4 linked regions of the Drosophila melanogaster genome follow. The protein of the gene in region 3 interacts with the protein of the main gene of each other region in a pairwise test. Each region holds a gene or a part of one and is shown on either strand. Other genes may lie near its edges. The genes, in order: CG1024, CG1603, CG8478 and Awh.

What was found.
Region 1: the proteins of CG8478 (region 3) and CG1024 interact in a two-hybrid assay, tested with the Drosophila melanogaster proteins (one large-scale study listed by BioGRID).
Region 2: the proteins of CG8478 (region 3) and CG1603 interact in a two-hybrid assay, tested with the Drosophila melanogaster proteins (one large-scale study listed by BioGRID).
Region 4: the proteins of CG8478 (region 3) and Awh interact in a two-hybrid assay, tested with the Drosophila melanogaster proteins (one large-scale study listed by BioGRID).

Annotation. Positions count from the first base shown.
Region 1 is NT_033777.3:6,375,584-6,383,860, forward strand, and holds CG1024 (uncharacterized protein), read right to left. Parts: upstream 4,625-8,277; 5' UTR 4,582-4,624; coding exon 4,435-4,581; intron 4,372-4,434; coding exon 2,887-4,371; 3' UTR 2,823-2,886; exon of another isoform or gene 2,813-2,822; intron 2,651-2,812; exon of another isoform or gene 2,597-2,650; 3' UTR 2,571-2,596; coding exon of another isoform or gene 2,383-2,570; 3' UTR 2,322-2,382; coding exon of another isoform or gene 2,237-2,321; 3' UTR 1,766-2,236; downstream 1-1,765. Other genes in the region: CG42564 (uncharacterized protein), read left to right, coding at 800-1,685; CG42537 (uncharacterized protein), read left to right, coding at 2,237-2,321, 2,383-2,570; TfIIFalpha (transcription factor IIFalpha), read left to right, coding at 5,013-5,036, 5,103-6,022, 6,099-6,686, 6,745-6,946.
Region 2 is NT_033778.4:7,511,537-7,519,416, forward strand, and holds CG1603 (uncharacterized protein), read right to left. Parts: upstream 4,855-7,880; 5' UTR 4,729-4,854; coding exon 4,432-4,728; intron 4,371-4,431; coding exon 4,107-4,370; intron 4,047-4,106; coding exon 3,684-4,046; intron 3,628-3,683; coding exon 2,791-3,627; 3' UTR 2,310-2,790; downstream 1-2,309. Other genes in the region: az2, read right to left, coding at 1-248, 305-667, 734-1,159; CG1602 (uncharacterized protein), read right to left, coding at 5,478-6,431, 6,489-6,842, 6,899-7,324; PIG-G (phosphatidylinositol glycan anchor biosynthesis class G), read left to right, coding at 7,838-7,880. UniProt on the Drosophila melanogaster protein: Chromatin-binding protein involved in the organization of active promoters and insulators. Essential for the activity of heterochromatin promoters; primarily binds to specific motifs within promoters of housekeeping genes.
Region 3 is NT_033777.3:9,758,939-9,766,635, forward strand, and holds CG8478 (uncharacterized protein), read left to right. Parts: upstream 1-4,815; 5' UTR 4,816-4,964; coding exon 4,965-4,997; intron 4,998-5,087; coding exon 5,088-5,688; intron 5,689-5,742; coding exon 5,743-6,609; intron 6,610-6,670; coding exon 6,671-6,900; 3' UTR 6,901-7,197; downstream 7,198-7,697. Other genes in the region: Alg12 alpha-1,6-mannosyltransferase, read left to right, coding at 1-273; Mpi (mannose phosphate isomerase), read left to right, coding at 964-1,540, 1,594-2,207; Snap24 (Synaptosomal-associated protein 24kDa), read right to left, coding at 3,273-3,911; MED6 (mediator complex subunit 6), read right to left, coding at 7,503-7,697.
Region 4 is NT_037436.4:3,842,202-3,850,280, reverse strand, and holds the start of Awh (arrowhead), read right to left. Parts: upstream 4,076-8,079; 5' UTR 3,540-4,075; coding exon 3,534-3,539; intron 1-3,533. UniProt on the Drosophila melanogaster protein: Probable transcription factor. Required for the establishment of a subset of imaginal tissues: the abdominal histoblasts and the salivary gland imaginal rings.

The sequences.
Region 1 (8,277 bases), 3.4 Mb from region 3:
GGAGACAAAGTATCTGAATGTTATAATTCTGTCACTTTTCTTCTTAAATTAAAAATTAAATTTTTCAAAATTACTATAAACACCAATTGATTATATTTTGACAACATAAATGTTGATAATATAAATATTTTTTTTTGTTTCTAAAATAATATTAGGGCTTGCAAAATAATGGACGCGAGTGTGCGACAAATGCCTTTTGACAATTTTACATGAACTTTTAAAGGAGAGGAATCCATTTATTTTCATGACCACCCGCTGGAAAATTATAGTAATTTAGTCTTGATGTTGATTTCACTCACATTTTTTTTATTGATATTAATATTTGATATGATATAGTTTCTTTTAACAACACTCCGTTATGAAATTCTTCTTATGTTATATGCGGCCGTACGCTTCGCGATCTTCTCAAGAATAAAACGATTGCATGTGGATTCCATTGGGCTCTCTTCTCTGGCGAGGGATTGCATTCTGCCGGATGACTCTTGCAGATGATATTGATTGCAATTAATTAAGAGGGGACTTACCTTAGTTTATTTATCTTAGCTTATTCCATAATCCATATCCATAACGATTGTTTTTTATAAGCTTTAATAGAAGAACTCAACCCCATGAACTTATCTTTAGAAAGTTTTAATTATTTGTTGGTCCGAAAATTAAATATTTTATATAAAGATTCGCTTGTAAATTTCCAGGCTACATCTAAGAACATTCAATACATAAAATAAATGTGGGTTTCATGATTTATTACTATATGAAAAAACGGAATTAATCAACTTCAACTTGTGTTCCCATCTATCAGGTCGCCGAAGTACAACTTTTTACAGATCGTGCTGGAGAACGCTGAATCCGTGGGCTGTGCCATCGTTCAGCAGTCCCGGCATGGCTGGATTCAGACGTTTTTCGCGTGCAACTATGGCCACGCCCCGGTTGTGGGCTCGCCCGTCTACGAGCCCGGGAAAAAGGCGGCGGAGTCCTGCAAGACCGGAGCGAACCCGAAATATGCACATCTCTGCGCCGAGTCCGAGGTCTACGAGAAGGTTACGCCGAAAGCAGGAAACGCGTCCAGTCCCGAAATTAAAACTAGAACTCTTGGAAAACGGGACTTCGTCATGCTCAACGGCGAAAACGCTGATGGAACGCCGCCAGCTGAAGGTGGGGCACCAGCACCAGCAGCCGATGGAGCAGCAGCAGCGCCTGCCGCCGAAGGAGGAGCAGCTGCACCTGGAGAAGCTGCAGCCACTCCAGCAGTCGACGGAGCAGCGCCAGGAGCCACTCCAGGAGTCACCCCGGTGGAGGGAGAAGGCTCCACTCCTGCACCAACAGCTGGAGGGACACCCGCTTCCGAATCGCCAGGAGGGGAAGAAGCTCATGCCGAAGGGCTACTGGAACCCATGCCAAAGCCTCTGGACAGGGCTGCGCTGGAGAAGAAGTTCGCCCGCTTCCTGGCGCTGATAAAGCGGGCTGAGATGTTCCATGGTCGCCGGAAGATCGTGGTCATATCCAGCAATCACGAGGTGGATGATGACCGCGTGCAACAGGAAGGCGCAGAAGGCGACGCAACTATTAGAACCATGGAAAGGGCTTTCTCCAGACGCAGAGCAATAATGAGACGCTCGATAGGTAGCCACATGCGCAGTCGTAAGCCAAGTGGCTTTTGGGCTCCGCAATGGATAGCTATGCCTTGAAGCTTACCTAACTGAATAACAATTGCTTTAAAGTGAAATGTTTTAAATTAAACATAATAAATAATCGTCATGTTAAATTTAATCCTTAATCTGATTTATAAAATGAATTAGTCAGAAAAGTATTCCTCGTATTAGTAATACAAAGTGACTAACGAAAAGAATGTTAATTAATTGGGTAAATATAATTCTGGTTAAATCATATTTACATTCAGCACAAGTGTTTTTGCCCTGATACGAAATCAATAGGATTGAGCGAAAGATCGATCTTGCAGCTTTTTTTTTTAAGTTAAAAGTGGAAAATACATTTTCATTCCAGCAACGTTTTTGAATGGTTCATCCCACATCTTATGCCTTTAAAAAGTTTAATTTAAGCCCCTTTTTTATACTATTATCTGATAGCCTCAAAACATTTAACAATAGAGTCGATTGTCAAGATGTTTTTTACTCGTTCTAGGGAACTGGGAAAAATGTTGGCAGCCGCCCCTATATAAGTCCATCGTTTTACAGATCAGTCATATCAAGTCGACCCTCCAAAGAGCAATCCGTTGAAAATGAAGTTACTTTTGGTTCTAGCTTGCGTTGTGCTCTACGTATCTCTCGCATGTGGCCAGAATCGCTGCGATGGTCGTCCTAGGGGTATGTTTAATAACAGCATTTAGTAAGTGTACTTTTATAGCTGATCTACACTTTCACACAGGTCGTCTGAGTTGCGAAGGCGGCAAGAACGAAGGATTTGGGGGAAGGCATTGCCGGAGAACTGCCATGGACGAAATGTGGTACTATAACCAGAGAACCAGGAAGTGCCTCAAGATGAAGTACCTCGGATGTGGCGGCAACCAGAATCGCTACTGCTCCTTGAGACACTGTCAAAGGTCGTGCCCATGAATTTAAATGCCTTTATCGATCCTGTCCTATAATTCACAGCAAAAAAAAAAAAAATATAAATGTACTTCTTGAAAAACATATTTATGAGAAATGGATTTAAAATATCTATATATTATTTAGTTGTATACGCTATATAGTTAACATATAACAACTTAAATGCAGATTGATACATGTTTCATAGGCATGTAAGTCGTATGTGTTAATTATGATCTTTTCCTAGCACAATATTTGCACAAGGATTTGAAAACTTACGTATATTTTACACTTGATGATATTTGCAAAACGATGGACCGACTTAACTTTAACTAGACTATACCTAAGGCTTTTCACGTTGCATCGTCTTCCAGATGGCGTTCATTCGCATGTGCCCTTCTCGCAGATGGTTCAACAAGGCTTCAACGGTCCCTTCGACTGACTTGCCAGCTCCAGATCTCCTGCAAGAGGCAATGTGTCGTTCGTAGCGCCATTTGCTCCTAAAGACTCTGTCACAGTGCTCGCACACAGCTTGCTCGCCCTGATCGTCCTCGGATCCGGCGTCATCCGCCATGGCCGCTTGACCGGACTTGTTGGGACTGGCCCACATGGGCTCCGGCTTAATAAGCAGCTGCGTCTTGTTTTTACGCTGCAGCTCCTCCTGGTGGTTGTAGCGAATGTGATTGAGGATCTTTGAGGTGCTGGTCTTGGTGCGATCGCAGAGTGTGCACTTGAGGTACGACCGGTAGGGCAGATGCTTGAAGCAGTGCTTCTGCAGTTGTGAGCGCACGGTCGTTGGTTGCACCTCACGGCACTGCAGGCACATGGCCTTGCGCCCGGACTCCAGGATCTTAAAACTGTTCTCGATTATGTGCTCGAAGTCGTGCTTCTTGAATACGTGTGCCCGCCAACCGTCCATCGAGGCGATTTCCTTGCCGCACTTCGGACACAAGTACGATATGAGCTTCGTGAGGCCGTTGGTGGACATTTCCGTGTCTGAGTCGCGGCTGGGCGTCGTAGAGATGCGTCGACGCTTAGTCGGTTGACTTATTGGGTCCGACTTCATTTCCTTCTTCAGCTGGGCCACTTCCTCCTTGCCGAGTGCATCGATCTCGATGATGACCACCTCCTGATTTCCTTGCTGCAGGTGCGCATCGTCTTGCTGCTGCTCCTCATTAGCTTCTCCTTTGCCGGCGGAGGGGCCATCATCAAAAAACTCCTTGCAGAGCGCATCCAACTCGTCGTCATACTTCGGCACCACCTCTTTCTCCTCCTTGCGCACGATGTCCTCGTAGGCATTCAAACACCGATCTAGATTCAGCTCGCTGACATTTGAAATGGGCTTAGGTTCGTTTACAGGAGCCGCTAGTGCTGTCACTGGGGACTTTTCCATTTCTGTGTTCAGATCAATGTCCATCAGCGCCTTTTGCAGCAGATCATTTTGCTTTCTGTTCGTGGAACCTTTGGGACGCCCACGCGGCTTCACAGCCATCGGCTTCTCTGCATTTCCAGCTGGTGCGGCCGCTGTAGTGGGTTTCGCCTGCTGCCGCTTCATCTGGCGCAGCTTGTTCTCGTACTTCTCGATCTCCCGCATGTGCGTGTCCAGTAGGTGGACGTTCAGAGCCCGGCGCCTCGTGTACGCCATGCGGCAGTGCACGCAGCGGTAGGTTTCACTGTGCTCCAGATGCATAAAGTAGTGGTACTGCAGGAGGGCGATTGTCTTGTGGGCATTCTCCACCCATTTGAAGCACAGCTGGCACTCATGGAATCGCTCGTCGATCTGGATGAAGTTGAAATCTGAGTACGTCTTCTTTAGATAGTCGTGTTTCTGTGGGCACATTTCAAACCATTATTAAAGCAGAACTTGATTTGCACAAAACCCGCAACTTGCCGTGTTCAGATGCTGTCGCCACTCCGCCTGAGTGCGGAACGCCTTGCCGCATTCCGGACATATGTAAACCATGTGCGCCTCCAGACGCGCATTAAGCCGACTTTGTTCATCCGAGAGCGTCACGTTCCGCGACATTTTCCCTAACATTTAAGCGACAAACTGCAAATGAAATCCAAACAAACTAGACAGCGCTTTGTGAATTTATCGTTATTTGCTATGGCGACAATCGTTTATCTAAAAAGAGGTAATCGATAACCGTGACTGTGAACGGATATCGGCTGTCACTTTATTTTGATAGAACATTACAAAACTTTGAAGTTTTTAAATACCTTGTAGGGCTTGAATATGCAATCTTATAATATCTACTTTTCCAATTTGTTTATCAAAATCTCTTGGAATAAATATTATTTTTCTGCCCAAACGATACGATACACTTGCTTCCAAAGAATAACTGCACTTCTGTTATCGGACATCGCTAGAAAATCCAACTTTTCTGCCCGCGCCGCGAATTGTAAGAGTTTGGGGAAAAGTATAAAATATCCAGATAGAAGCAACATATGATTAGCAAACATTAAGCCATGTCGAGCGCGTCAAAGTCGACGGTAAGTCTTTACCCTGCCGCTTCCGGCGCCAACACTTATTTGCGGTCTTCGCTTGATTTCATGCAGCCGAGCGCTGCCAGCGGGAGCTCCACGTCCGCAGCTGCCGCCGCCGCAGCCTCTGTCGCCTCAGGATCCGCCTCGTCATCCGCCAACGTGCAGGAGTTCAAGATCCGCGTGCCCAAGATGCCCAAGAAGCACCATGTGATGCGGTTCAACGCCACGCTCAATGTGGATTTCGCGCAGTGGAGAAATGTGAAACTGGAGCGGGAAAACAACATGAAGGAGTTCCGGGGCATGGAGGAGGATCAGCCCAAGTTTGGTGCTGGATCGGAGTACAACCGGGATCAGCGCGAGGAGGCGCGCCGCAAGAAGTTTGGCATTATAGCGAGAAAGTACCGTCCAGAGGCACAGCCATGGATCCTTAAAGTGGGTGGCAAGACTGGAAAGAAGTTCAAAGGCATCCGCGAGGGCGGCGTAGGCGAGAATGCAGCTTTCTATGTGTTCACCCATGCACCAGACGGCGCCATTGAGGCATACCCCTTGACCGAGTGGTACAACTTCCAGCCTATTCAGCGCTACAAATCGCTGTCGGCGGAGGAGGCCGAACAGGAATTTGGTCGGCGCAAAAAGGTGATGAACTACTTCTCCCTTATGTTGCGAAAGCGTCTGCGCGGCGATGAGGAAGAGGAGCAGGATCCGGAGGAGGCTAAGCTAATTAAGGCAGCCACCAAAAAATCCAAGGAGCTCAAGATCACTGACATGGATGAATGGATTGATTCCGAGGATGAGTCGGATTCGGAGGACGAGGAGGATAAAAAGAAGAAGGAGCAGGAAGACAGCGACGATGGCAAGGCCAAGGGAAAGGGCAAGAAGGGCGCAGACAAGAAAAAGAAAAAGAGGGATGTTGATGACGAGGCCTTCGAGGAGTCGGACGATGGTGACGAGGAGGGCAGAGAAATGGACTACGACACCAGCTCCAGTGAAGAGTATGTGCCCCAAACGATTCTGATAATGGCAATACAATTTGGACCACATCTACTAATTTCTTATACCCTATTCTAGCGAACCAGATCCAGAGGCAAAGGTGGACAAGGACATGAAAGGCGTGGCCGAGGAAGATGCGCTCCGCAAGCTGCTTACCTCCGATGAAGAGGAGGATGATGAGAAGAAGTCTGATGAGTCGGACAAGGAGGATGCCGACGGCGAGAAAAAAAAGAAGGATAAGGGCAAGGACGAGGTATCCAAGGACAAAAAGAAGAAGAAACCCACAAAGGACGACAAGAAGGGCAAGTCGAATGGCAGCGGTGACTCGTCCACAGACTTCAGCTCTGACAGCACAGACTCCGAGGACGACCTTAGCAACGGACCGCCCAAGAAGAAGGTCGTCGTCAAGGACAAAGACAAGGAAAAGGAAAAGGAGAAAGAGAGCGCTGCGAGCAGCAAGGTCATCGCCAGCAGCAGCAATGCCAATAAATCTCGCTCGGCCACTCCAACGCTCTCGACGGATGCCAGCAAGCGCAAGATGAACAGCTTACCCAGCGATCTCACCGCTTCGGACACAAGCAACAGTCCCACCAGCACGCCAGCAAAGAGGCCTAAGAACGAGATTAGCACATCGCTGCCCACTTCCTTCTCTGGCGGCAAAGTAGAGTGAGTAAAGCCGTGATATACTGGAATTCCTAATTCTAATTTCATGTATTTTGTTTAGGGACTACGGCATCACCGAGGAGGCGGTGCGTCGGTATCTTAAGCGAAAGCCCCTGACCGCCACCGAGTTGCTCACCAAGTTCAAGAACAAGAAGACGCCTGTCTCCAGCGACCGTTTGGTCGAGACCATGACGAAAATCCTGAAGAAGATCAATCCCGTCAAGCACACCATCCAGGGGAAAATGTATCTCTGGATCAAGTAGCCCGCAGTCATGTGATTTTAATGTTTCATAACTCAAATGCATTATTGTTCAACACAAAATATAAACGCACCACTGAAAATCGGTTAATTTTCTTGGTTAATTCGAAAAGGCAAGTAGTATTTTGCACAGAAACTGATTTTAACCAATTCATTGTATTTGTACTTCTAGAATCTTAAAAACTAGTTATTAATGCTATATCTTAGTATTATATTTCTATATGGTTTCAGGTTCTGAAGTTGAGAATTCTAAATTCTGTACAATGATCTGAAACAGTTGCTGAGAATACTGGATTTTAATATTTTTAAAATTTTAGTCGATAGCTATCGAAATATGGGAGTAATCGATGTACGAAAACATCGCCGTCAGGAAGCCAGCAGCAGCTATACATCGATTTAGTTCCAGCTCTAGCCCTGTATATGTGTCTGTGTTCGGGTGGGATGTAAATTCTAATATCCGATAATTAGAAAAGTGAACCAAACCCAAAGCGTTCTTATCGCGACTGTCATGCTCTTTTCGCAGCCACTGCGCTGTCCCCGCTGAACCACGACCACCAACTAAAGGAACCCGAGGAGTCCGAGCCCCAAAAGGGAGCAAAACAAAGTACAACGCAATACCAGTGCGATGGCGACGAGTGAGGAGGCGAGCGAGTGCTGAAAAAATAGGATTGGATACAGGAACTGGCCAGAAGTCGCTCCAAACGGTCAACTAAGAGCACGAGAAGCCCTAATCAAGTGAGTGACCAGTGGATTTACGCGAATGGGCGTCGGGAAAGCAAAAGGAAATCGCTCAGCTGCTTTGTTGTTGTGCTAATTGAACGCACACAAGCACAGTAGCAGGCACGCACACAGAGGCGCCTAAAAAAAACAACAAAAGCGAATATACGAAATTTAAGTGCAATAACTTGTGGGCTGCTGCCTCCAATCGAGGCCGCTTTTCACCTGTAACCCACCGTTGTACACCATTCAGGAAACACCTGCCTAGTGCCTATGTATGTATGTATGCGTGTTTGCGTGAGCGTATGCCCTCCCCCAAAAAGGAAAACCTTGAAACCACACTCGTGCCTTGTAAAGTTCAAGGTGTGTGTGTGTGCGCGTGTTTGTGTGTTGGTGGGTGGGTGCTGCGTACGCTGTGTAATGTGTAAATTGATATCGGCCTTCCAAACAAAGCGAATTAACGCGAATTGCATTCCTCGTCGCTAAACATTCAATCCGTATGTCAGGATTGTTTAAAACAATCCAGTCAATACATATGTATCTCTACATATCCAGATAGCTACTCTAGCTTTTTTGCAAGCGCTTTTGCAAGGAAAATTATATACAAGTTTTGAAAAT
Region 2 (7,880 bases), on a different chromosome or scaffold from region 3:
ACGTCTGTGAGGGTTTTGATCCGTCGCGAATACCATTGGCGCATGCTCTGAATACTGTCGTAGACATCGTAGTGGGTGACCAGGCCCAACGAAAACTCCGAAGTCAGCAGGTCAGTGATCTCTATGAGCGATGACTTTCGTACGTTTAGATTGCAGAAGTGCTTGTGCGCGGGATCGTACAGTTGGGGAAACTTGGAGTACAAATCAATGAACTGTGTGGTCAGTTGATTCTCCTCTGTGAACACCAGCTGTCGTGGGGAACGCATTAGAGTGGCTTAGAAAGCTGTTTGTCACTCGGACTCACCTTTATTTTGCCATCGCCGTCGACATCATCGCTGTCCGCATCCTCCAGACTACCGCGCTCTGCCAGAAAGCTGTACTTTCCATGGTAGTACAGTGGAACCTTGGTTAGTTTCTGAGTTTTCTTCTGCCGCGAGATCGACGCATACTGCGCGTGTAGGCTGGTGATGCACTTCTTCAGCTTATAGGCCGTTAGGTGAAGATTGACGGTCGCCTTTAATTGCTCCAGCAACTCCTCATAGGCATTTGCGCGTTTCTCCTTGTCCCTGTACGACTCATCCGCTGGATCCCAGAGGCATGTCTGCTGCTTATACAGTTCAATGAACTGTGTGATCCGAGGACTGCGTCGGTAAAACGTAGGATTGAACTGCCGGGATGCAAAACGTCTGCTTTAATTTGTTGGTTTTTGTTGCTGGTGTAGTCAGTTGCTTACTTTGGTTAAAGGAGCAAAGTGTGTGGAGTTTCTGGTGCCCAATTCGCAGTCAACTGTCATCGAGGAGGAGTCCACCTCGTCGTCTTCTTCCTCCTCCTCCTCCACCGGGCTGGTGCTCTCGTCGTTCTCTGATGAAGGTGGCACGTCAACGAACATGTCTTCAGCCAGGCAATTTTCCGGAGGCTCCTCCACTATGAACACCTTGGCTGGCGAGACCTCCTCCTCGCATTTGGCTGACGAAATGACTTCGGAAGTAGTGAGCTCTTGCTGCATGCTTGGATTTGCTTCCAGGTGCTCCTTGACGTGCACGATGAACTCTCGCCACCGCTTGAACTCCATCTCCACGTAGCAGTCATTTTGGTGAGCACACGCCAGAACAAAGTGCTCGAAGTTGTTCCTGGCCAAAATGTTCCCGCAAACCACCATGATTTGCTTACAAACAAATAAGATACAATGCCAAATAGCACAACAACAACGCCATTTATCGGTATCGATAAGCACCGGATGGTCAGTGTTGGGAAGATACCCGCGGAAATTCCATTGAAACGAAATCATCTCAATTTTAGAAAATATTTTATATGTAGACAAATAATTATATATACTATACAGCTTAAATTTAAATCTTGCTATAACATGAGTATTAGTTGTGTTAAATCAACTTTTAAATCAATTATAAATTTTTAAATATATTTTAAACTATTTCATTTTAAGCTGGAATAAAAACACTACTTTTAGTTGACTGATTCTGGTACTTATTCCCATTCGGAACAAGAGTCGAATTCCCCGACAATCAAATACTCCTTACTTAGCCAGTGGAAATACAAGTAGTTCATACGGACAGACGGACAGGGACAGACCGACTCGGCTATTGGTCCTTATCGAGAATATATATACTTAATATTGTCGGAAACGTTTCCTTCTGCATGTTACACACCTTTCATCGAATATATTGTAGTATACACTTTTTTTAAAGACACTAGAATATTAAGGTGCGTAACGGCCATTACATTGGTTTTCAACTATGCAGTTACTTTTTTGGTGACGGCCAAAATTGATCTCACTCCGCACGCGTAAAATGGAGAGCGTAAATTTCTTAAAATAGAATGTACTTCCTTGTGTGTGTTAAAACAACAAACGAGAAAGTGTATATGAGCATACTTGTGCTAGAAAACTTTCGTCTCGAAATCAATTTTGATCTCAGAAACGAAGGTACATACATACATATTTAAAGTTTTGGTCAAAGCTTGTTGCAATACGATCTACTACAGAGTTATTTAAAATTTAATGCCTTGACTATTCTTTTAAGAAGAGTTGTTATTAATTAAATACCGCTTATTTATTTTTGCTTATAATTAAAAATATTTAAAATTGCACTGACGACATACTTCAACAAGGGTCTATGAGCAGTATCTTGTACCGTATAAAAATTATTTTCATCATTATTTAAGCTAATAAACTAAATAAAGTCTTAAATCGTTATTATAACTATTGTAATTAAAAATATAAATTTGGCAAAAAGGAAAATACATTTAAAAAAATATATTTCATAAAAGAAATATAAATACATTGTTAAAAATGAATATATATAAAATTTTGTACACGTCATTTGATCAAAAATAATAATAATAGAGCTGCTAGCTCTAGAGCTCTCCGCTCTCTGACTTTTGAACAAAAACTCGGGAGAGCCTCAAGCCAGCTCTAGATCTAGAGCCAGAACCAAAAAATCATATGTTATTCTAATATCTCCTCTACAAGTAACGGTTATACAAATTTATCTTAAAACGAACTTATTTTTCCGGCTTCTTCTTTTTTTTATGAATAATACATTCCTTAAACCAAATTTTGAAAAGGAAAGTATGAAAAAGGAAAAGCTTGTGCATATGATTATCATACACATGTTCTTATCAAATACACAAAAGCCGTAAGTGCTTAACAACACGCTTGTTATTATCACTACTCTAACGTAAGTTTATTCTTGATTTACATCAAATGAAGCTTACTGATTCTCGTTATCAAAAAATAAAGCAGTTTCTAAAAATGTCCCTCAAGGCGAGAGTTCATTCCGATCTGTGGCTGCGGCGATGTCTGGAAAGCGAAGAATGGTCATAGAACGTAGCATCACAGTACTCGCACTTCTTATCACGGATATTCAGATGTCCTTTGATATGGTTGGCCAGCTCGAACTTCTTGCGGAAGGTTTTGGTGCACATATTGCAGCTGTAGGGTCTAATGTTCAGGTGAACTCCGTTGACGTGGTGGTCCAGGAGTAGCTTGAGCCGGAATGTCTTGCCGCAGATGTCACAGACGTGAGGCCGCTCGCCCGTGTGGATTAGTGTGTGCACCTTTAGGTCGGTATCCACGGCGAACGATTTTTCGCAGTACTGGCACTTCAACTTGCGTTCGAAGTGGGAACGCAGCTTGTGACGGTCCATGTCTACGTGGCGGTCGAAGCGCCTCGGGCAGAACGAGCAGAGGTACGGTAGGTCGCCCACCTCGTGCGCCTTGACGATGTGCACCCGTAGGTTGTAGTCGCCGTGGAAACGTTTATCGCAGTAGTCACAGTACAGCACCTGACTTTCGGAACCCTTGGCGGGCAAGAAGCTGCACATTTGCAGATACTGAACCTCTTGCTTGCTGCACTTCTGAATTAGTTCCTTGGATTTGAGGCGACGAATGGCATCGTAAAGCCAACGGCGCAGCTTGTTGACCGCAATGTAAACGTCCGTTTCGTTGGCCTTCACCACTGGCTGGAATTCCTTTGCCATTCTTTTGAAGGCATCTGCACGTATCTCTATTGAGCCAAAGTCTGGCAACGCTTGATTATACAGCACGGGATAGTTGGCATAGGTCTCTATGAATGAGGTGGTTATCAGGTTTTCCTCCTTAAAATTAAGCTGAAAAAAGGATTTTTGGTCAGAAAAGAGCTACATTATAGTGGGCTAGTTATTACCTTAATTGCAGTCAAGTCGTTGTCCTCCTCGTTCTCCCTTGGCGTTACAACAGGCGCCACACTGAGGAACTCGCACTTGGCAAAGTAACGCGCTGCAAGTCCAACAAGCTTTCCCCTTTGTTTTGTCTCCAAAGCCAGCGTGTACTGCACGTGCAGTTGCTCGAGCGTTTTCTTCAGTTCTTCCACGGTGAAGAGAACATTGGCCTTGCGGTCCATGCGTTCCATTATCGCCTCGTAGGCCATGCTTCGTGCAGGCTCGTCCTGGTAGTGTTCATCGGAAGGGTTCCACAGGCAGGGATGCTCTTTGTACGCTTGGATCAAATGCAGCACACGGGGATTGCTCCGAATAAACGAAACTTTGAACTGAATGACGCCGTTAAGTGGAATGAATTTCAGCTTAAGTGAAATATACTACGTACTAACCTTGAAAACCTGTCCTGGTCTTGTTCGCCTGGGCGGACGTCCAGGTTTTCTAGGAGGTGCCAAGTCATCCTCAGACATAAAGAAGTCACTACAATCAACATCATCATCGTCTGTGTTTAGGGGTATGTGATTTTGGGAAGACTCGTCCATTTGTGTGACTTCCTTTCCGGCTGGAAGTTCCAAAGAGCTGCCGCCTGGACCGAACTCCCAGGAATTGTTTGTAGCTGCAGACCAAGCGGTGGCGTCTTCCTCGTACTGGATATCCTGCGGTCAACGAGAGCTCACTTATTTGACCACCCTTGGTAAGCGAGTGAAAGAGTCTTACCTTGCTATCAGCTTCCATCCATTGATCGACCCCATTGCTGTTTTCGATCACCTCGAAGAACTCATCCGGCCCATAGGCGATGGCTGGGTCCGCCGCGTCAACGACGCTGTATAGCTCCTCGGTATCCTCTTTGATTTCATTAATCCTAACGTCCTCGTCTTCGCAGTAGTGCGCCGATTTCACATGGACGATGAACAGCTCCCAATCCTTCAGCTCGCTCTCTATGCTGCAGTAGAGGCATTTCAGCCGGAACATCTCGTACTTGGAGTTGGTCATCACATTGCCGCACAGCTCCATGCTTACGTTGTGCGCTCTGATCTGACTTCAGCTTGAAAAATGTTCCTTTTCTGAAAATATATTCGTTTATTTAAGGTAACAATTTTTTTATGCGTTTGGGACTGTGTTGGACAACGACTGAAATAATTATGTATCGATAGACTATTCGATAAAAATCTATTTTTAAAATAATATTTAAACACAATTTTATGAAGGCTTAAAAGAAAACGTTTTAACAACTGTTGGTGGTGCTTAAAAATGATTAAAAATCTGCATTTCATGAATGAATCTTTAAAGTAACTAGTACATTTCAATTTTCGAAAAAAAATGTTATAAAATTCTAGTACTAACCATTTGGAAAAATCAAAATCAATCAAGCTTATTTGTTGAGAAATTATATTTTTTTTGTCATATCGATAGAAAATAGCGAGACAAATATGAACAGGAAAACACCAAAACGTTTTTCAAATGTATGGGCGTTACAGTTGTCGGCGCCTTGTGGGCGTGCCAACATTTTGGAAAAAATAGCGCAGCGTAGGCAGGGGAATGTGTTTAGGCTTTTAGATGTACATCCCCAGATTTCGACAGATGGACATGGCCAGATAATGTAGAATTTATATTCTTAATTATTAATATACATTCTTAAACCGTTATATAAATAAATTTGTTTAAACATATTGTTTCACTCTCATTTGTGTATTTTTATTTCCCCCCATTTGCAAAAGATTGCCTATTTATAAACTGTCATTTTATTGCAAATTTAATCAAATTCAGTTCTCTGCATCCACAGCATCTTTACCCTTTTGTGAATTATTACGAAGAATGTTGTGGGTGCGCTTCATGTGCGTATTAAGACCCACAAACTGGGAGAACCTGGAGTCGCAGAGTTTGCACACAAACTTCTTCACCTCGGAGTGAATCTGCCGGTGTCGGATGAGTGCATGGCAGCTGGTGAATCCCTTACCGCACACACTGCAGATTTTGTCGCGGATGTTTAAATGGCCCTTGATGTGATCCGATAAGTCGACCTTTTTCACAAAGTCTTTGGGACACATGGTGCACTTGAAGGCTCTGATCTTCGTGTGAATAGCCGTGACGTGGAGCGTCATTTGGGACCGCAGTCGGAAGGCCTTGCCGCAATGCTCGCAGACGTAAGGCTTGTGGCCAGTGTGCGTACGGATGTGCAGCTGCAGGTCCGACATCACAGCGAATGAACGCTCACAATGGGTGCACTTGTGGGTCTTGCCGATATGGACCCGCTGTATGTGATTAGCCAGCTCGCAACGTCCCACAAAACTTCGGTCGCACAAGGTGCATTTGAAGGGCAGCTCGCCGATGTTGTGCGCCTTGAAGATGTGCGACTGCAGGACATGATCCGAGGACGTAATCTGGTGGCAAAATTCGCAGACCAGCCGCTGCTTGTACATCTTTGCAGGCATGAACCGACACACCTCTAGGTAGAACTTCTCGGCTGTACTTCCGGCATAAATGGCATGCTTAGTGTTCTTGTAGTACCATTGGCGGAGATTCTGGATGGCGCGGAATATGTCATCGCTGTTGATGTCCACATTGGGCACTGAGATTTCCGCAGCCATGCTCTCGTATGCCTGTTTTCGAGAGCTCATATTGGAGAACTCCTTGTGGTTGGAGTCGTATAGCTGCGGAAAGTTTGCGTACATCTCTATCAGGTCGGTAGTCAGCTTGTTTTTCTTGGAGAAATCAAGCTGCGGGCAAAGTATGCTTGTTAACAATTTCAATTTGAATTAATTCAAATATCTTGCCTTAATTTTTTCGTTATTCGTAGCCCCTTCTTCATCGTTGCTAGCGTTCAAGAAGCAACACAATTTGTATATACTGAAAGCCAGCGATTGAGGTTTCTGTTTTCCAGACACCACCCGCTTGTGCACGGTGTTGAACTGCATGTGGACTTTCTTGATGGCCAGCTTTAAGGCCATCTCGTTCAGGAATACGGATACAGTTGCCTCCAAGTCAATGGCCATACGCTTCAGGGCTTCTTTGCATTTCTTGGGTTCCTTGTAGTCGCTGTGAGCGGGATTCCAAAGGCACGGGTGTTCCTTGTAGATCTCTATGAACTTTATGGTTCGGTGATCTCGGCGAAAGAAGGATGGATGAAACTGAAGTTGAATGCTGAGATTAGTTTAGCGCGTTCATGAATGGCTTCTAGAAGTACCTTGTATGTGGGTGTGGTTTTTAAATTGGCATCATCAAGAGCTGGTTCACTTGGATCCTCGTCCTGGACGGATTCTTCTTCATCTGTAACCAAAGATACGTCCGACTCCTCAGTCTCGTTTGTCGACGAACGCACTGCGTCAATATGCAGCTGTACACAGGCTCCGTCCGCCGATTCGTCTTGCTGGAATATCGACTCTTCCGCTTGGGGTTTCTCCTCTGGAGGATCTACGTGCCCAGACTCCGTAGAATTTTCCCCCACTGGCTCGAAGTCGTCTTCCATGCTCCTTACTTTGCTATGCACGTTGCGGATGTGCAGCACAAACTCCTGCCACTGGGCCACCTCCACGTCCGTTGGACAGTAGGAGCAGCGCATCAGGAACTTCTCGTAGTCCCTGCTCACACAAATAAGGCCGCAAGTTTCCATTTTAAGTTAGAAATAACAATCAAAAGCGTTTGTTTATACATATCCGACTATGAGAGACCATGGGCGCATTCACAAATGGGCAAAAGGGTTCGACAGACGATATTAAATTCGTTTGTTTTATAAGTATCAAATTTAAAAAATTTCTTTTATATGTAAGATTTTAAATGTAAATTAAGATAAATTAAGTATAAAATAATATACACTTCGAGAAATGGCAAAACGTTAGTAATATTATGTAAATATTAATACTTTTTTTCCATAAAGCTAACAAATTTCCTCTCTTAACTCTTTCGTATCAATAGTTTTAAAATAAATATAAATTATACGTAAGACTTTAGCATTTATTAGTTTTATGTGCCTACGCCCCTGAAGTTTTGCTTGCCGTCTATCGATAGCATACAGCACTTATCGATTGTCTAGCCTTTATATTTGACTTCCAGCTGACGGGCGGCAATTATATTGAATTTGTTGTGGTTTTCGGTGGAGCGCGGTACTTTCGATGAAAACAAGAAGATGGAACAGCACAAAAGTTGGCTGGTCTATACCATCGGCATGC
Region 3 (7,697 bases):
ATGAAGATTCGACAAATTATCGAGCAGCACTACCGCGCCAAGGGCAAACAAATCGAAAACGACTCCGCAGAGACCCAAAAAACGCAAGGAAAGGCTGGATTACGGCAATCCGTAAAGTCCATCATAAAGCAGGAGAAGATCAAGGAAATGATCGAGCAGATCGCTACGATGGATCTGACACGCATCTGCGATTTGGAAAGGACTTCGACCAAAGATTGCTTAAAACAGGTCATAGACAAAATAGATGACAGCGAGGGTTTGAAATCCAAATGACAAAACCTATCACACTTTAAACTGTTTTATTAAATTAAGCTAAGCGTTTGTTAATGGCACAGTTGTAAAAATTTAAAATAAAAGCAATAATAAAAGCGAATCAAAATTTCAGGAATTTCCTATATCTTGATAGAAAATTAAGTCGCGGCCAAATCGCACCCGAATCGCGTCCGAATCGCGCTAAAGTCGCCTCAAAATCCCCCCTAAATCGCATCTAATCGCGCCTAATTAAGCTCAAACGCTCTAACTAAACATAAATTGCCAAATAGAGTATGACACATTACGGCACGTCGGATATATTTTTTGCTGACCAAAAATAAATATAAATTAAATTATAGAGTATTAAAGTATCGTCATATATGTAGAACTAGTCATTAGGGATATCGCAATATCCCCATCTCTAGCTTAAACGCGATATATGTATTTAAAGTAACAGTGGTGGAAACACACCAAATTATTTCGGCAATAAAATCGAAATTACAAACTTCCAGAAAGCTGTTATCTATATAAAAAGGTGTGATAAGCCTTATGTCGCAGGTGTATCAACGCTAATCCACTTAATGGCGCTTTCACCACAGACCAACCCCTCTCACACGTATCCATTCACCAGCAATCATATGTTTTCTTATCACCTTCAGGTTGACCTCAAACGCAGTACGGCGAATTTTGGAAGGCAATCGGTGCGGTGAAATGGAGCTGACTGGATGGGTGAAGAACTACGGCTGGGGCCGCAAGGGCATCAACTCGGCGGTGGCCCAGCTGGCAATGGCCAATGATCCGGACTTTCGTCTGAACGAGGAGGAGACCTATGCGGAAATGTGGATGGGCACGCATGTGTGCGGTGTGTCCGTGGTCAAGGAAACCGGAGAGACTCTGGACCGAGTGCTAAAGAAGGACCTTTCATACCTGTTCAAGGTGCTAAGCATCAACAAGGCACTCAGCATCCAGGTGCATCCGAACAAGTGCGAAGCGGAGCGCCTGCACAAGGAGCGCCCGGATATCTACAAGGATCCCAATCACAAGCCGGAACTGGCCATTGCCCTCACGCCCTTTCTGGCCCTCGTGGGATTTATGTCAGCCGAAGATATCAGGGACTACATCGATGAGTTCCAGCCGCTGAGTAAACTCATTGGCAAGGAGGCTGTGGATCAGCTCCATGACTCGACCAACTCGGAAAGCGTTAAGTTGTGCTACGAGAAGCTGATGAAGACCGAAGAGCCGGTGATAGCCAAGTGCATCAGTGAAATAGCCAAGGATTACCAAAACGGTGAGCCATTCTGTGCAATCTATGAAAGATTTGTAAACATTCCTCTAAAATAGAACTGAAATCCAACGATCTGCTTGAGGTGTTCACCAAGGTCAACAAAGACTTCCCCGGCGATGTGGGCGTACTGTCCCTGTTCTTCCTCAACCTAATCCGCCTGCAGCCCGGCCAGGCGATCTACTTGGGCGCGAACGAGATTCATGCCTACCTGGACGGCGACTGTGTGGAGTGCATGGCTTGCTCGGACAATGTGATACGGGCGGGCCTAACGCCCAAGTACAAGGATGTGGACCAGCTGCTGGAATCTGTGATCTTCGAAAGTTCGTATAAGGATCGCAAGGAGTTCATTCCGTACCGCATAGATGACCAGGTCCAGGTCTATATTCCGCCAGTATCCGACTTTGCAGTGATAAATGTGAATATCGAACACTCGCTGGAGTCGTACAAGCTGGAGATACAAGCATTCGGCTCCATATTGATAGTTCTAAAGGGATCCCGCATTCTTAAATTGAAAACCCAGCAGGGAGATAAGGAGATCTTGGTAACCCGCGGCAGCATTGTGTACATTCCCGTCGAGGCGGCGCCGGAAATCGAATTCGCCCAGTCCGACGATTGCGACGAGGACTTCAGCGGCTACATAGCAACCAGCAACTACTTTCGAGTGCCCTAAAATTCTCAGTTAATCGAAATATTTTGTACAGTGCAATAAATCCATTAACACGTTTTGGTGGTGAATTATTTTGTTTATATTTACTTGCAATTAAGAGCTAAGAATGTAAGCTAAAGTGGCAATAGTAGCGATAAATAAGTTATCTAATCAATTGGCTATACTCGTTCCATAGTACATTTAATAATTAACGAGAAATATCTTGCGCACAAACAGGTAGTTTCTTAAATATTTGCGATAATTGCAACCAACAATTTCAAGTACTTAAGCTAGAGCTACGTAACTCGATCGGGGTTACATTCACTGGGGATAAATTATTCATATGTACGAAGCAAGAGGTTCGAGTGCAAATCTAGTGTAATTCAATAGAATTGGTGCTTGGACTGCTGTGCTGGGCTTGCGAAATGCCCAAATACATGGCCTACTTAAAAAGGGTTAACAATGGAGAACATAAAATTGGCTACGTTATACATAATTTCCGCCCGTCTTTGTTTGGTTTTTCGGTGCCCGTGCGGGATGCGGTGGTTCTACGAATTGTAAATACATTAATTCACATTTATCCATCTCAGCAGTTGCTTGGTTTGATTTCACAAAGATCGGTAAAATGCTCAAAAAGTTTGTACCAAAAACAGAGTACATCATATACGGTAAATCTCATAATAAAATTGTTTCCGGCGCCATCTGGTTGCCATTTGTACACGAGTGTAGTAATAGTAAGTAGTTAGTATGTTGGTTCGCATATATGTATATATATATATATATATATATATATATATATATATATATATATATATATATATATATATATATAGTTTTAGAAAGTAGTAGTTAGTTCATCCGGCTCGGCGGCTTAAAGTTCTTGTAAGTAGATGGGTTTGTTACGCTTGCGTTTGCCAGGAGTAGTTGCCACTACTTGTATATGTGTATAATATATGGTATCAATAACGCAATACCACCAGCTACGGTTTGTGCCCACAACATTGGTTTCTTTCCCTAACAACATTGAAATGGAGGTGGTGTCTGACTAACATGTTCGCTATGGTTTCGGGACGTGGCCGTTGTGCATATTTAACTCTTGAGCAGATTGTTGGCGCGCTTGTTCACGCCGTCCATGCGAATGTTGTTGGCATCGCCCTTGGCATTGATGCGATCAACCTGTTTGTTTTGGTTCTCCAGCTCGGAGCCCATGTCCAGGGCCATGTTGCGCAGGTTGCCCAGCATCGAGTTCACCTGCCCGAGATTCTCGTCCATCTCATCCTCACGCGCATCGTTCGTGATCCTGGCCACATAGCCGGACTGCGGTGGTGCACCCATGCCGCCGCGTTCCCGCTCATCAATGACCCTTTGCGGCTGGCTGGCCACGATTTTGCCATCGTCATTGGCCTTCCAGGCGCTCTCACCGTCGTCCTTGATGTTCACCTTCTTCCACGGCAGCACACAGATGCCACAGCACTTTTCCATGCCACTCAAGTTCTTCTCCGCCTCCCTCATGTCCGCGTTGATCCGGTCCATGCCCTCCTCAATGCGGTCCAACTGCTCGCCCTGGTCATCCAGGGCCACCAGCGTGCGGATTCCAGCCTCCTTGCTTTCGTCCATGAGGGCGAGCATCCGACGCGTGCTCTCCAGGGATTCATCGGCCACCTGTCCGGACTTGAACTGCAGCTCCTGGAGCTCAGTGCGCGGCTCGGCATTCTCCACGGCGGCCATTTCGGAACTATCTATCTGGTGAGATCACTTGAACTTGAGCTTGGCAAGTGGTTGAGAGGCAAGACGGCTGTCTTGTTTTTTTTTTGGGTGGGGAAATCTGGCCAGTGACTCACTCGCGCGAGATGAAAAACTACCCTTGGTGCTGGTTCGGTGTGTGAACTCGGTGGATATGTAATTGGGGCGGGGATGAGCTCGTTTGTGCTCCGTACGTAGGAACTTATTGCCAAGGTTTAATAATTTATTTGCGAAAGTATGAATTTTCACACCACACAACAATTCGCCAATTTGTATACTAGAGCTGCAAAAAAATCGATGTTAGTATCGATGTCGTTTTCGATAGGCGATTTTTACGTGTGTTCACACTGTTTAATATTGCATTTAGGCTTAGTTCGCAACAAGTACAATTAAAGAAATTATGCAAAACAAGCTGCAAACTATTTACGAAACAGGGCTTGCTTACGTTTTACTATTAAATCTGAGTTTAAAAGTTTAATATTGCATTTAGGCTTAGTTCGCAACAAGTACAATTAAAGAAATTAAGCAAAACAAGCTGCAAACTATTTACGAAAGAGGGCTTTCTTACATTTTACTATTAAATCTGAGTTTAAAAGTCGATTTACCATGCATAAACTAATAATCCAGTCTGATATTACACTTTTATCTAAGACATGAACCCTGTTCGAGTCTGATAAAACACAATTATTTTATGTTTTCAAAAATATTTCCCATCTAGTCACTGTAACCTTTCAATTCGTCGTGTGCCGAAAAAATTAGATTTATTTCTACAAAGTCTCCTACGCGTTAACATCAATTTGAAAGTAGTGAAGAATTTATAGTTTTTTCAATACTTTTCATAATTTAAAGCCGCGCATTCCCATCGGCGCCGTTGCTATCTTCATTGCGCGCGCAGTGTTGAAAAGTGTGTTTGAAATATTAACGCTTTGTTTTTTCGGTACAGCGTCGGTCTTCAGCTGCTCGAATTTTTGCTTAATTGCTTGTATTTATTAATTTGGGAATTCCTCGTGGCCAATTGGGAATAGCATATACTTAACCATGGACGATTCGCGCAGAACTATGGCCGGCAAGGCAAGTGTTTGGTGGTTTCAGTTGGTGTTGCTTCCATTTGCCGGGAAAAGACTTCCGAACATTATCCCATTTTCATTGCTAAAACAATAGTTTCACTTCCAGCAGATCGATTCCCGTAGCTCATCGATAATGACAAACGATGAGAGCGTCTCCATGTATTTATCCTTTGACGCGGAGGACACCCTGTCCAATGCCAAGTGGCAGTCGGCCCTGGTCACCCAGAACAGCCAGTTCCTGGAGGTGCACAACAGCAAGGTGGAGGTAAACACCGATGATAAGGACCTAAGGCGCACTATCCTAAAGGATCTGCATCAGTTGACCATTGGGGAACCGGACCAGAATTCTCCTCTGCGCCCATTTGACAAAAGTATTCTTAACCGGCACAACGCCTTGTGCTCCACTCCCTCCAAGGGCAATATTTCGACCGAAACGCAGACACCACAGATCATGGAGAGCATAGATCTGACCCAAATTGACGACAAGGAAAACACACAACCGGAGGGGTGTGGCGGCGATAACTCGACCTTGTCCAGTTCAGTGGACGTGACCGCCAATACGGTTAAGGCCAATACCCTAAAAACAGGGGATGCTACCATGGACAATGTATCCTTGCAGGAGGCTGCCAAGACCCCAGCTCCCAGCCAAGTCTATCCCTTGAGTGCGAACGTAGTTTTAGAGAATATAACTGAAGGTAGGTTTATACTATTGAGATATGGTTTCGTTCTATAAACATCTACATTTACAGTATCCAACGAAGGAGTATCCATGCTGGTCTCGCCAGCCGGAGCCGAAAAGGAGGTCGCCCATGTCAACGAGGTAGTGAACGAAGTCTCTGAGCTAATTGCCAAAGCTCTAAAGATCTCCGCTGATTCTGTGAAGCCAGCGACCTCCAAATTAAAAGTGGAGGCGGGCAAGAAGAGGCAGTCCATGAGCTCCACTTATTCGGGTGCCGCCCTACCGCGCCCTCGGCGCTCCTATCTGCCCACCACCACCGCAGAGACGCGAACGTACTCCTTCAAGCAGCGCATGTCGGTGGTGGTCAAGACAACGCTCAACAGCCCAGCTCGCAAGCGGAGTGTCGGTGGCGGTGTGTCACTAAGCCGTCGCAGCTGCTTGCCCGTCTCCAAGCTAACAAAGAGCAGCATAAGAAAGTCGCTCGCTGTGACCAGCGTGCGTTCGCCTGAGAAGATCGCCTCAAAGCCGGCTAAGACATCGACAAAAAGCATTCCGGAGAAAGTTTTTAGCTGCAAGAATTGCAGCACAACCTTTCGGGTGAAGTCACTTCTTGACGTGCATATGCGAATGCACGATCCGGTTGACAACGGAGCCAATACCCTTAAGCGTCTGAACAGCAATCCGGTTGCAGCGGGAGTCTCGAAGAATCGCTGCAAGTTTTGCGATAAGAATTTCGCACTGGAACGTGCCTTGCACATCCATTTAATGCAGAACTGCGACAAGATACCGCCGTCCGAGAAGCGCAAGCTGGAGTTCACCGAGCTGAACCACGAGAAGAAAGCCCAGCTGCCAAAGATCGGTGGCACCAGTGGCATTAACCATCCCATGACGATGCCCCAGAAGCCACAGCAACGCATTAGTACTATTCCCAAATTAGGTAACTATTGATTGAACAGCACGCGTTCTTAGAGAGAAATTATTACAAACCCAATTCACAGCTCCCTCACAAGGAACCCAGTCCATGGCTCCACCGAGCGTGAAAAAAATTCCCAAGAATGTGGCGCATGCCGGCGTCTACCGCACTCCCACAAAGACTGTGCCCTGCCACATCTGCAAGCAGTCGTTTAGGAGCATACTCGAGTTCACAAACCACAGCCTGACGGTGCATGGAAACAACCAGCTTAAGAAGATGACCGGCAGAGAGGATGCACAGAGTGCCCACGATTAAATTAAGCGATTCGTGTGTAGCCTAGTCTATGTCTAAGTTAAGTGCTGTGGCGTAGCTGTGGTCCGGTAACGGCGCGTTGTGAACAGATCGCCGGGCAGCTGTGAGTTAGCAATGCCTGGCATTTCGAGCGCTTCTAACTCAATGTTTCGGTTACTCGAATGCTTATTAATTGTACACTTCAGCTGCACGACTGGACTGCTTTGTGAATTTTTTAGGTTTTCGTATGACATTCACACAAAAATAACTATCGTAGTCTAAATGACAGTAATTACATTATATTCTAGGTTACTAAAAACTATTTTAGTTTTGAATTTTGTGTTTTCTTTTTTTTTTTGTTAAGGTTATTGATTGTTGTTCTTAATTGTTTTCTCACGGAACAAAAATTGCGTTTTAAAATTTGAATATTTAAATGGTCACTAGTTAGAGCCACTTTAAAAAAAAATAGTTGGCAGTACTAGCAAAAGTAGATTTCGCTGCTTTTCGCTGAGCGTTGGTTTGGCCAGTGGAAATGCAGGCAGCATTCAGCGCCTTTTATGCAGCTGCCAAAGGACTCGGACTAATATGTATGTACGTTTTTTGAGGGTGCACCTGCATTCACATAATCACTTGCTCTTCTTTTCGGGCGGTGGCTTCATGTCCACACCCTCGGTTTTGATATCTAGCGGTCCTGTGGCATTGTTCATTTCGGAGGCATTTCTCGCTGTGTTCAGATCATCGCCCGCTGGTGGCGGCTGCTGGAGATTCTGCAGCATGGGCGGTATTGGTGGGGGAAATTTACGCAAAAGCTCTGCCAGCAG
Region 4 (8,079 bases), on a different chromosome or scaffold from region 3:
CACGCGTTTTTCGCGTTCTCTTGTATTTGTTTCGTGCTTTTTATTTTGAATATGTATCTTTTTTTTTGGCATTTTTAAGGCATTCATCATAAAGTTGGAGACTCGAGCATCGAGTGAATCCGAAACCGAAAATCCCAAATGCTTTTGTCTTTTCGTCAACATGTCACAGCCACTAAACATCAATAAGTTGGGCTTTTATTGATTTCGAGTCGTCGTCTGTCTTTTTTTTTTTTACTACAGCTCATCTTTGTGCGGAGTTTTTAGGGGGATTTCGTGTTTGATTTCTTATTTTTTATTGAGCATTGGCCACAATTAATTAGCTAAATCTGCATTTTGCATAAATTACACATATAATATTTTCATATTTCAGTTTCCAGCTTTCGGCCATTGTATTTCTGTCCCCCCTTTTTTTGTGGGCCAATAAATCAAGACCGGAGTTGTTTTTTGTGGGCCACCGCCAAAGTTCTAGCCGATAATTTATTTGGGTGACTTTGAATGATTTTAGCGGTGAGTTTCAAACGGCAAAGAGGTTCTAAACTAGTTTCGCTTCCCTAAAACTAATCACTTTGGCTACTGTTCGTAGATGCCATCGATAAAATGATATTGAAATTCTCTATCGGCTCAATTTGCAATTGTCAGGCAATTAAAAACAAATTTTTTTTGATGACAAAGTGGCAAGAACGAATCAAGTGGCATATTTGTAGCGATACATATGTATATTAGAAAGTGTTATACATTTTATTTAAAATCAAGTTCTTTTGAAAATGTGGGATAACTTATATAGTATGCGAACTACAGTTTGTAATACGAAAACGATTCCTTTTTGGCCAATTTACAATTGTCAAGCAATTAAATGCGAATATTTTCAGGCGACAAACTGGCAAAAGGACATTTATTTTATTTATTGGAATTTTTTGCCAGAAATCGAAATCGAATGGTTTGCATTTAGGGGTTGGCTCGTAAATTCCAGGGGCGGGTTTGGGTCTCTATCTTCCTTGATTTCTTTTTTTTTTTTTTTTTTTGAGTTGCCGGCAGACAGGAGTGGCAATGATTTGTGGCATTTTACAATTTTACAGGCCCAAGGGCCATGCATCATTTGTAGGCCAACTAAGCGTCCTTTAAGGACTATTTTGTGGATGCACTCGAACGAACAATGGCAAGACACTCGACTCGCCTTCCATTGTGCGGTTTTGTGAGGACCTCTTGTGCCTCCTGCATTCGATGTTCATTCGAAGAGGACTTCTCGCATTTACCTGCTAAAAATGCTGCTGCGATTTTGACACATCTACCCAGCGATCTCTTCCTGCAATTCGCATGCGCAACCCGACTGAAAACTGACCAGGAACTCTGGCATCTATTGTCAATAGGTATGTACATACTACATATATGGATTCGAGGCCCAAAACAAAGGTGTGATATTTGTTTCTCTTTGTCCCTGATCGGGGCAATTGGCTCAAGTCAAGATGCATTTTCCGTTTGCCCATTGTTTTCCCAAGGAGACAAGAACCGAGGCGTAGACTTCTTGTCAGCGTTGACAATTAGGCATTTTCGACCAGTGGTCACAGGACACTCTTCAGAATGTCCTTTGTTTGGGAATCCAATTATTAGGGGGCTTGCTGAAAAATCTGCTGACCGCTGGCCAGGCAGCTGGTTTTGCAAAACATCCTTTTGGTAAGTAGGAAAATCTTGGCCATCGGCACGCGCTCCTTTTTTTGGTTTCTTGTGCGGGATTATGGGACAATGGAGTTAGGCGTGTAATCCTCAAAAGGTGTTTTGTCAAACACTCAAAGCTAATAAGTAGATGGAGATATAGAAAGTCAAATCCTAAAATCTCTGTAATCACTCTGTATTTTTAGTTCGCCTTCAAATACCCAATTGCCAATTAAAGAAAACTTTTTCGAACCGCAGATGGAGGCGTCAACGACTTCTTACACAAAACATTTTTGGTGTATCTATTTATGGGAGGTTTAGTTTTTTCCAATCTTTCAATTTTCTTGTGAATTATTAATGAAAAATCGATTATTGAAATATGTATATACGTTTTTTATAGCTGCTTCGCAGGCATTCGACATTTAAGCGCTTAAATATTTATGCCTTTTTTATATCTCTTTCTCCGACTGACTACCTAAGAGCAGGGAAAAAAAGACTCCATCTCCATACTTTGTTGAATATTCATAAGGCAGCGCCTAGTGGCGTCATTTTCGGATTTGGATTTGGATGATAAAGCGGGGCGGCGACATGTGGAAGGGGGGGGATCCACCAACATCTGGGCCGGGTCAAGATCGATGATGTCAAGAAAAGGTCTCTCGCCGAGAATCCCCCATGCCCCTTGACCATCGACGGCACCTCAGAACTGTTGACATTTGAGTTCTGGACTTCGAATTGTAAGCGGATCCCCCGCTGATCTGATTTTTCCCCCTATGACCGTGGTGCGTATAGAAATCTAGCTAAATAAAATCGGGCGATTAAAATTATATCGCAGAGCAATAAGCGTCAGCACCTTGTCCAATTTGCTATGGTAATGAAAATTATGCTCGTCGAACAAAGCCATGGTAAATCGATCATCGGCGAGCATAAATCATGATCGATTCTCTGCAGACTCATGGCAAATATTTTTCGAAAATCCTGTGGGTGGTTCACACACACAACAAAAAAAGCCCGTCGCACAGCGGGTGTAAAAATCGATTAAACGTTTTCGGACTGGGTATGAAATAAAATCAAAGTCAAAATCAAATTCGAAATTCAAAAACCAAAAAATATGTGTTGTTGAATGAACAAGGGATTGAGCAACATCATCTAGGCGACACGATCAATGCAATGTCTTGAAAAGATACAAAACAAAAAAAAAAAAAGGCCAAGTTGAATATGATTTTTGGGGTTTGGTTGCAGATACATCCGAATATCAGCCTTCATTTCACAGCCAATATTCGAGTAATACCCAAAAGTGTGGGCTGCGATCTGTGGCTTATTCGCTGAGTGTTTTCGATGGGAGGAACCCCACTGTGCGATTTGTGTGCTTTTCATATTCACCGCCCTGTGTCGTCTCCATATTTTTGAAAACTCATCGTTTTCCAGCCGCTATTAGTGTGCTGGCTTTTTCGAATTGAATTGAAACTGTTTTGCTCCGGTTTTTGTCTTAACTCCGGCTCACTTCTTTTTTTACTCCCAATGGTCGAGCAAACGCCGCCTGTTGCGTTTTCTGGCCCAATATGCTCGCAGCGGGCTAGGAAACTTTACATAAAAAACTGATTTGTGGGTCACTCGGGGTCTACTGGACTTTATGTCCAGCAATTAAAAAGGAAAGCAGAAACTTCATTTTGAGGGGGTGTGCAAACAGACCGCTCAAACGCCGAGCAATACGGGTGGAACATGCAACACTTACAGTCTAATTTAATAGAGAATATTAAAGACTAACTTTATTCAAAAATGTAGAAATTTATAATACACAGACTGATAACTTTCCTCTTTCCAATAGCAATAAAGTTGATTTTTTACAACTCAATCTATCTTTTTATAAAGCAATCGAGACTCACCTTCATTTTAATTGCCTCCACAATTTTGGCGGTTGTTAATCCAAGTATCTTGCTCGAAAATCTGTCGCCAGCTTTAGCCTGGGAATCGATATCGAGCCCGATCGCAGCCAGTATGAGGAGATATAGATGATAAAGACGACGACTTGATCAGTTTGTCAAGCGTCCCACGGAAGCCGCCGTCTGCATAGGATGCTTATATAATCGTATTCTTAAACCAGATCTATTAATAACCAGTGTAAATTCGCATATCCGAGATAGAAATCAATTTGCAGGCGCTTGCAACATTTTTTTTGTTTTTGATTAGCACATTCGATAACAGTTCACTTTCTTAGCCGACGGCGAATGTTGCGTTTCGATTTCAATAATATAATGTGCGACACCTTATGGCATGGAATACTCGTAGAACCTTATCACGATAACACGTTTCACTGCAGATACTCTGAGCGCTTCTCGCTTTTCTCGTGACGGAGCGGAGCGGATCGAGCGGATCGAGCGGACGCGAGATGTTGTTACAGCTTCGAGGCCACTGCGTTAACTGCCGGCGCTCGGGGTTCGAGCTCAGGGATCTGGTGGTGGTGCTCAACTGGCTCGGCTCACGCCCGGTTTCCATATGCTCATGGCATGCCCGCCACCACCACAGGTATGATGATGAACCAGCCGTACGCACAACCACAACCACCAGTCAGTCCCATTCGAAACTCGACTCGAGAACTCGCTCAACTGGTTTTTGAGCGCACATCTGTCGTCGGCGCAACGGGAATGGTGGTGATTGGCCCGCCTGGCCACGCCCCTTTGCGCCCCGCATAACGAGTTCCGCAGTGGTGTCCCCCATTTTGAGTGCTTTCCCAGTCCGCGCCGCCTGTGCACCAATTGAGTGCGCCGGCGCGTGCCAACTTGGCCACTTGAATCGAGTCGAAACTCGGAGTGAAATCGTGCCGCGAATTGGGTGGGTGTTGCTCTGGTGACGATGTTGCCATTTCTACTGATATGGCTGTTACTCGAAGGAATTTCTGTCATATTGCTGGTGCTTTCGATGTTGTTGCTGCTGTTTTTGAGACTCGTGTGGCTGCTGTTACTGTATCTTTTGTTCTTTATAAAGCAGTATCTGTTGTAGCAGCTTTTCCTAGAAAAGATTTCACTGTTGTGGTTACTTTTGCCTAGAAAAGCTACCAATGTTGCTCCTGTTGCAGTTGTAACAGTTGTCATGCTGCTGCGTTTACTGGAACAGATGTTGCTTCTAACTCTTTTGCTTTTACTCAGGATATTTCCACTTAAGATTCTCCTTGAATTGTTGTGCCTTTCAATAATATTGCTGTTGTTACTGCCACTTTTGCTTTTTCAAGTAAGTATATTGTTGTTACTATAATTTTCACCGTGACTTCAACTGATGTTACTGTCATTTCTGCTTTTCCTGCTGACTTTTTTGCTGCCTGAGTGAGTAAAAGTCCAGGAAAACCCGAATATCGAGGGAGGAAGTAAGGGAGAGGGAAAACGGAACTCGAGCTCCGCCGCACTTGACTTTTTGGGGTCAAACCGCTTGATGGAGGGGAAGTGAGTTGATGCCAGTGGATGCTGCTGTCTTTTCGGTTATATATTTTTTATTTCTGTTGGCTGTTTGTGATGGCATGCCAAACATGATAGCGCAGCAGACTGACTCAAAGAAAAAAAGGTTTAAAGTTAAAAACATTTTATTTTATTTAACATAAAATTAAATTGCATGGCTTTAACAATAATAATATAACAACAATAACAATATATTGCTTTTATATTAATACTTTTAAAGAAAGTACTATTATTAATGATTCCTTGGTGCTAAATAACTCTTCAAGTTACTCCAGTTTCCTTTGTCCCCTTTATACTTTGATTTAAGCCTGAGTTTAAGCTTTATGTGCAACACCGATCCCCTTGAGGATTTCCATTTCGAGCACTTTAACCATTACTTTGCACCATTTTTCATTCACTGTCTCTTTGATCGTGGGCTGTCTCTTAAAGCCGCTTGGCATTCAATTGGCATTTGGCTGTCGCCATCATCCAGTCGAGTGGCCCCCACCGCCTCCTCCTTCGCCAATCCTTCTGCCTGCCCCCGTTTTTTTTACCACTTTTTCTCCGCTTTTTGCTTTGCTCACGTTATTTAAGGATTAACATCATTTTATGGTGCCTCGCAATGCCTTTTTTGCAGGATTAAATGCTGCTGCCTGCTGGCTCTCGTTCTCCTGTCACTGCACTGGAAAAAAATTAATATATCTTTAAACTGTTCTATACTTAAATAAAAGCTTCAAGCTTAAAGTTAACCATTTATAGAAATATCTGTCATAAAACCTGCAAACTGCTTTAGGGTATTGTCATTTGTTGTTTAATTTCCATTTCGTCAGCAAGTTGGTCATATTTTTTCAAGTGTAATTTCACACCCCCATTTCCCCCTCACGCTGAATTTTCCGCTCTCCTTTCGCCCCTTTGAATTGATTGCATTGCACTTTTTCTCGCTGTTGTTGTTGCATAGTTTGCGCTGATGCACCGCCTCCATGGCTACAAAGTGATTTTTATGGCTTTCTGTCAGTGTGTGCCTGTGTGTGTGTGAATGCAAATGTTTGCCTTGCAGTGCGTGTGTGTAAGTGCACTTTGATGTTTCCGCATTACAAAGGCGGCACTTTAATAGCGGTGCATTTATCAAAAGGCAGCCAAAAGTCCGACAGCAGCTGGTAGCTTTAACACGCATACGCCCCGTGGGATGCTGCAAAAAAAGCGCTCTGAAAACTGGGAATTAAAGGAAATAGAGCGCCTAGAAGAAATACTACAATAAGATTACACATTAAACCGATAAAATGATCCAGTTAACATGCAATTTTGCTACTTTTTCATACAATTGCCATATAGTGCATATTAAGATCTTCATTTGGATCAAAACTAAAAGCGAAATGTCTTAATTAAAATCATATCTGTATACTTTCCCTAATACCTTTGACTATCGCCCATTAATCAGCACATCGAAGCGCAGCCTTTTGCTTATCCTGGACCGCATCTGACTTTGGAAAGAAATAAAAATAGCTCGACCCTCGAGGCTCTAAATTGATTAACAGTAGCCCCCCGATCAAAAAATAATCCGATGGCTGGGGTTTCTGAAAGAGATGCTGTCATCGCATCGCCGTTCCGGGAATGCCTTCCATTTACATGCCATAATTCTTAAATGTCACCCGTTTACAAAAGCCTTGGCCATTTGATTTCGACCGCCTTCGAATTGGCCCTCGAACAGGTTGAAACCCGGGCAGGTAAATGGAACTGGAACCCGCGAACCCTAAATGAACACATCCTTCTCATATCTCCCATTGTTCGACTCATAGACCAGCGATATTATATTTATTTGGATCTTTATTGAGCTGCAACCTGTCGCAGTCGCTGGTTTTTGGGTTTGGGTTCTGGGTTTGGTTTCTTCGGCCTCTCCCTCTGGATCTGCCCATTTTGGTGGCAGATTTATGTGCTGGGCATCTCCAAGCAGATACCGATCGCGGCGATAAGATGGAAGGGATGACCAAAAGAAACTCTCTCTTCATAGTTGAAAATGCACCGAGAAAATATATGTGCCCTTAAAGAGTTAGAAAATAATTAAATAGGTGAAGATAGATAGCTTGTAAAGAAAGAATTTCTCCCAGTGCTCGTTTTCTATGATCACTGAAAATTTCAGGGTAATTTGTTGGCTCCGTTTTCAGTTATTTTTGTTGGTCGGTTGGTTGGGTTTTTGGGACAGGTCTTTCGGAAAACTGTTGGTGGCATGTTCGATTTTCTGTGGCTACCTTTTTTAGGCTTTGTGTCGCAATCGCGCGTGTTATGAAGATGTTAAGATCCACTGGTCAACCCCTAAAATATGTCTTAATTGCCTGGGGCTAGAACCATGGAGCGTACAACGTTTAATAGATGGTAAATGCACCTACATATAGCCAGTTACCTCTCGGCTGTTTGCACAACTCCTGACCAGCGCCTGTTTGCTCAAGTTTCGTTTTATGGCCCGTTTTTGTGGTAACATGTGCCAAAGGACATCATTTTGTGGTGGTAAGCGACTGTCCAATGCGTTCTCATAGCCCATAAATCATTGGCCAAGCCGAGCTGTTTGGCCAGGGAAAATTTATGTTTAATGTTCCTGAGGGAAAGATAACCTTTAACCTATATTATGAATAACTTTGAGAGAACTTAATAATTTGTTAAGGGAATAGTTACACTTTGTATTAGAAAAATCTGTAAAGAAGGATAGGTTAGTTATGCAATCGTTTGATTCGCTCCCCCATTGCAAACGCATTTTGTTTGTTCTTTCTCCTTATACATTATGTATATATATATATATTTGTAATAACTCTCTAGTGTATATATAAATTAAAATAAATAAATACATTTTTTTGGTTTGTGGATTTTGTTTCTTTTTTTTTTTTTTTGTTAATAATAATTATCATTACCATCATCATTATCATTAGAGTTATCCTCGTCGGTAAAAACGCCGCCCTCGTCCCATTTTTTAGTGTCTTTATCTCATTGCATGCTTGGTTGTTCGAGTTGCTGG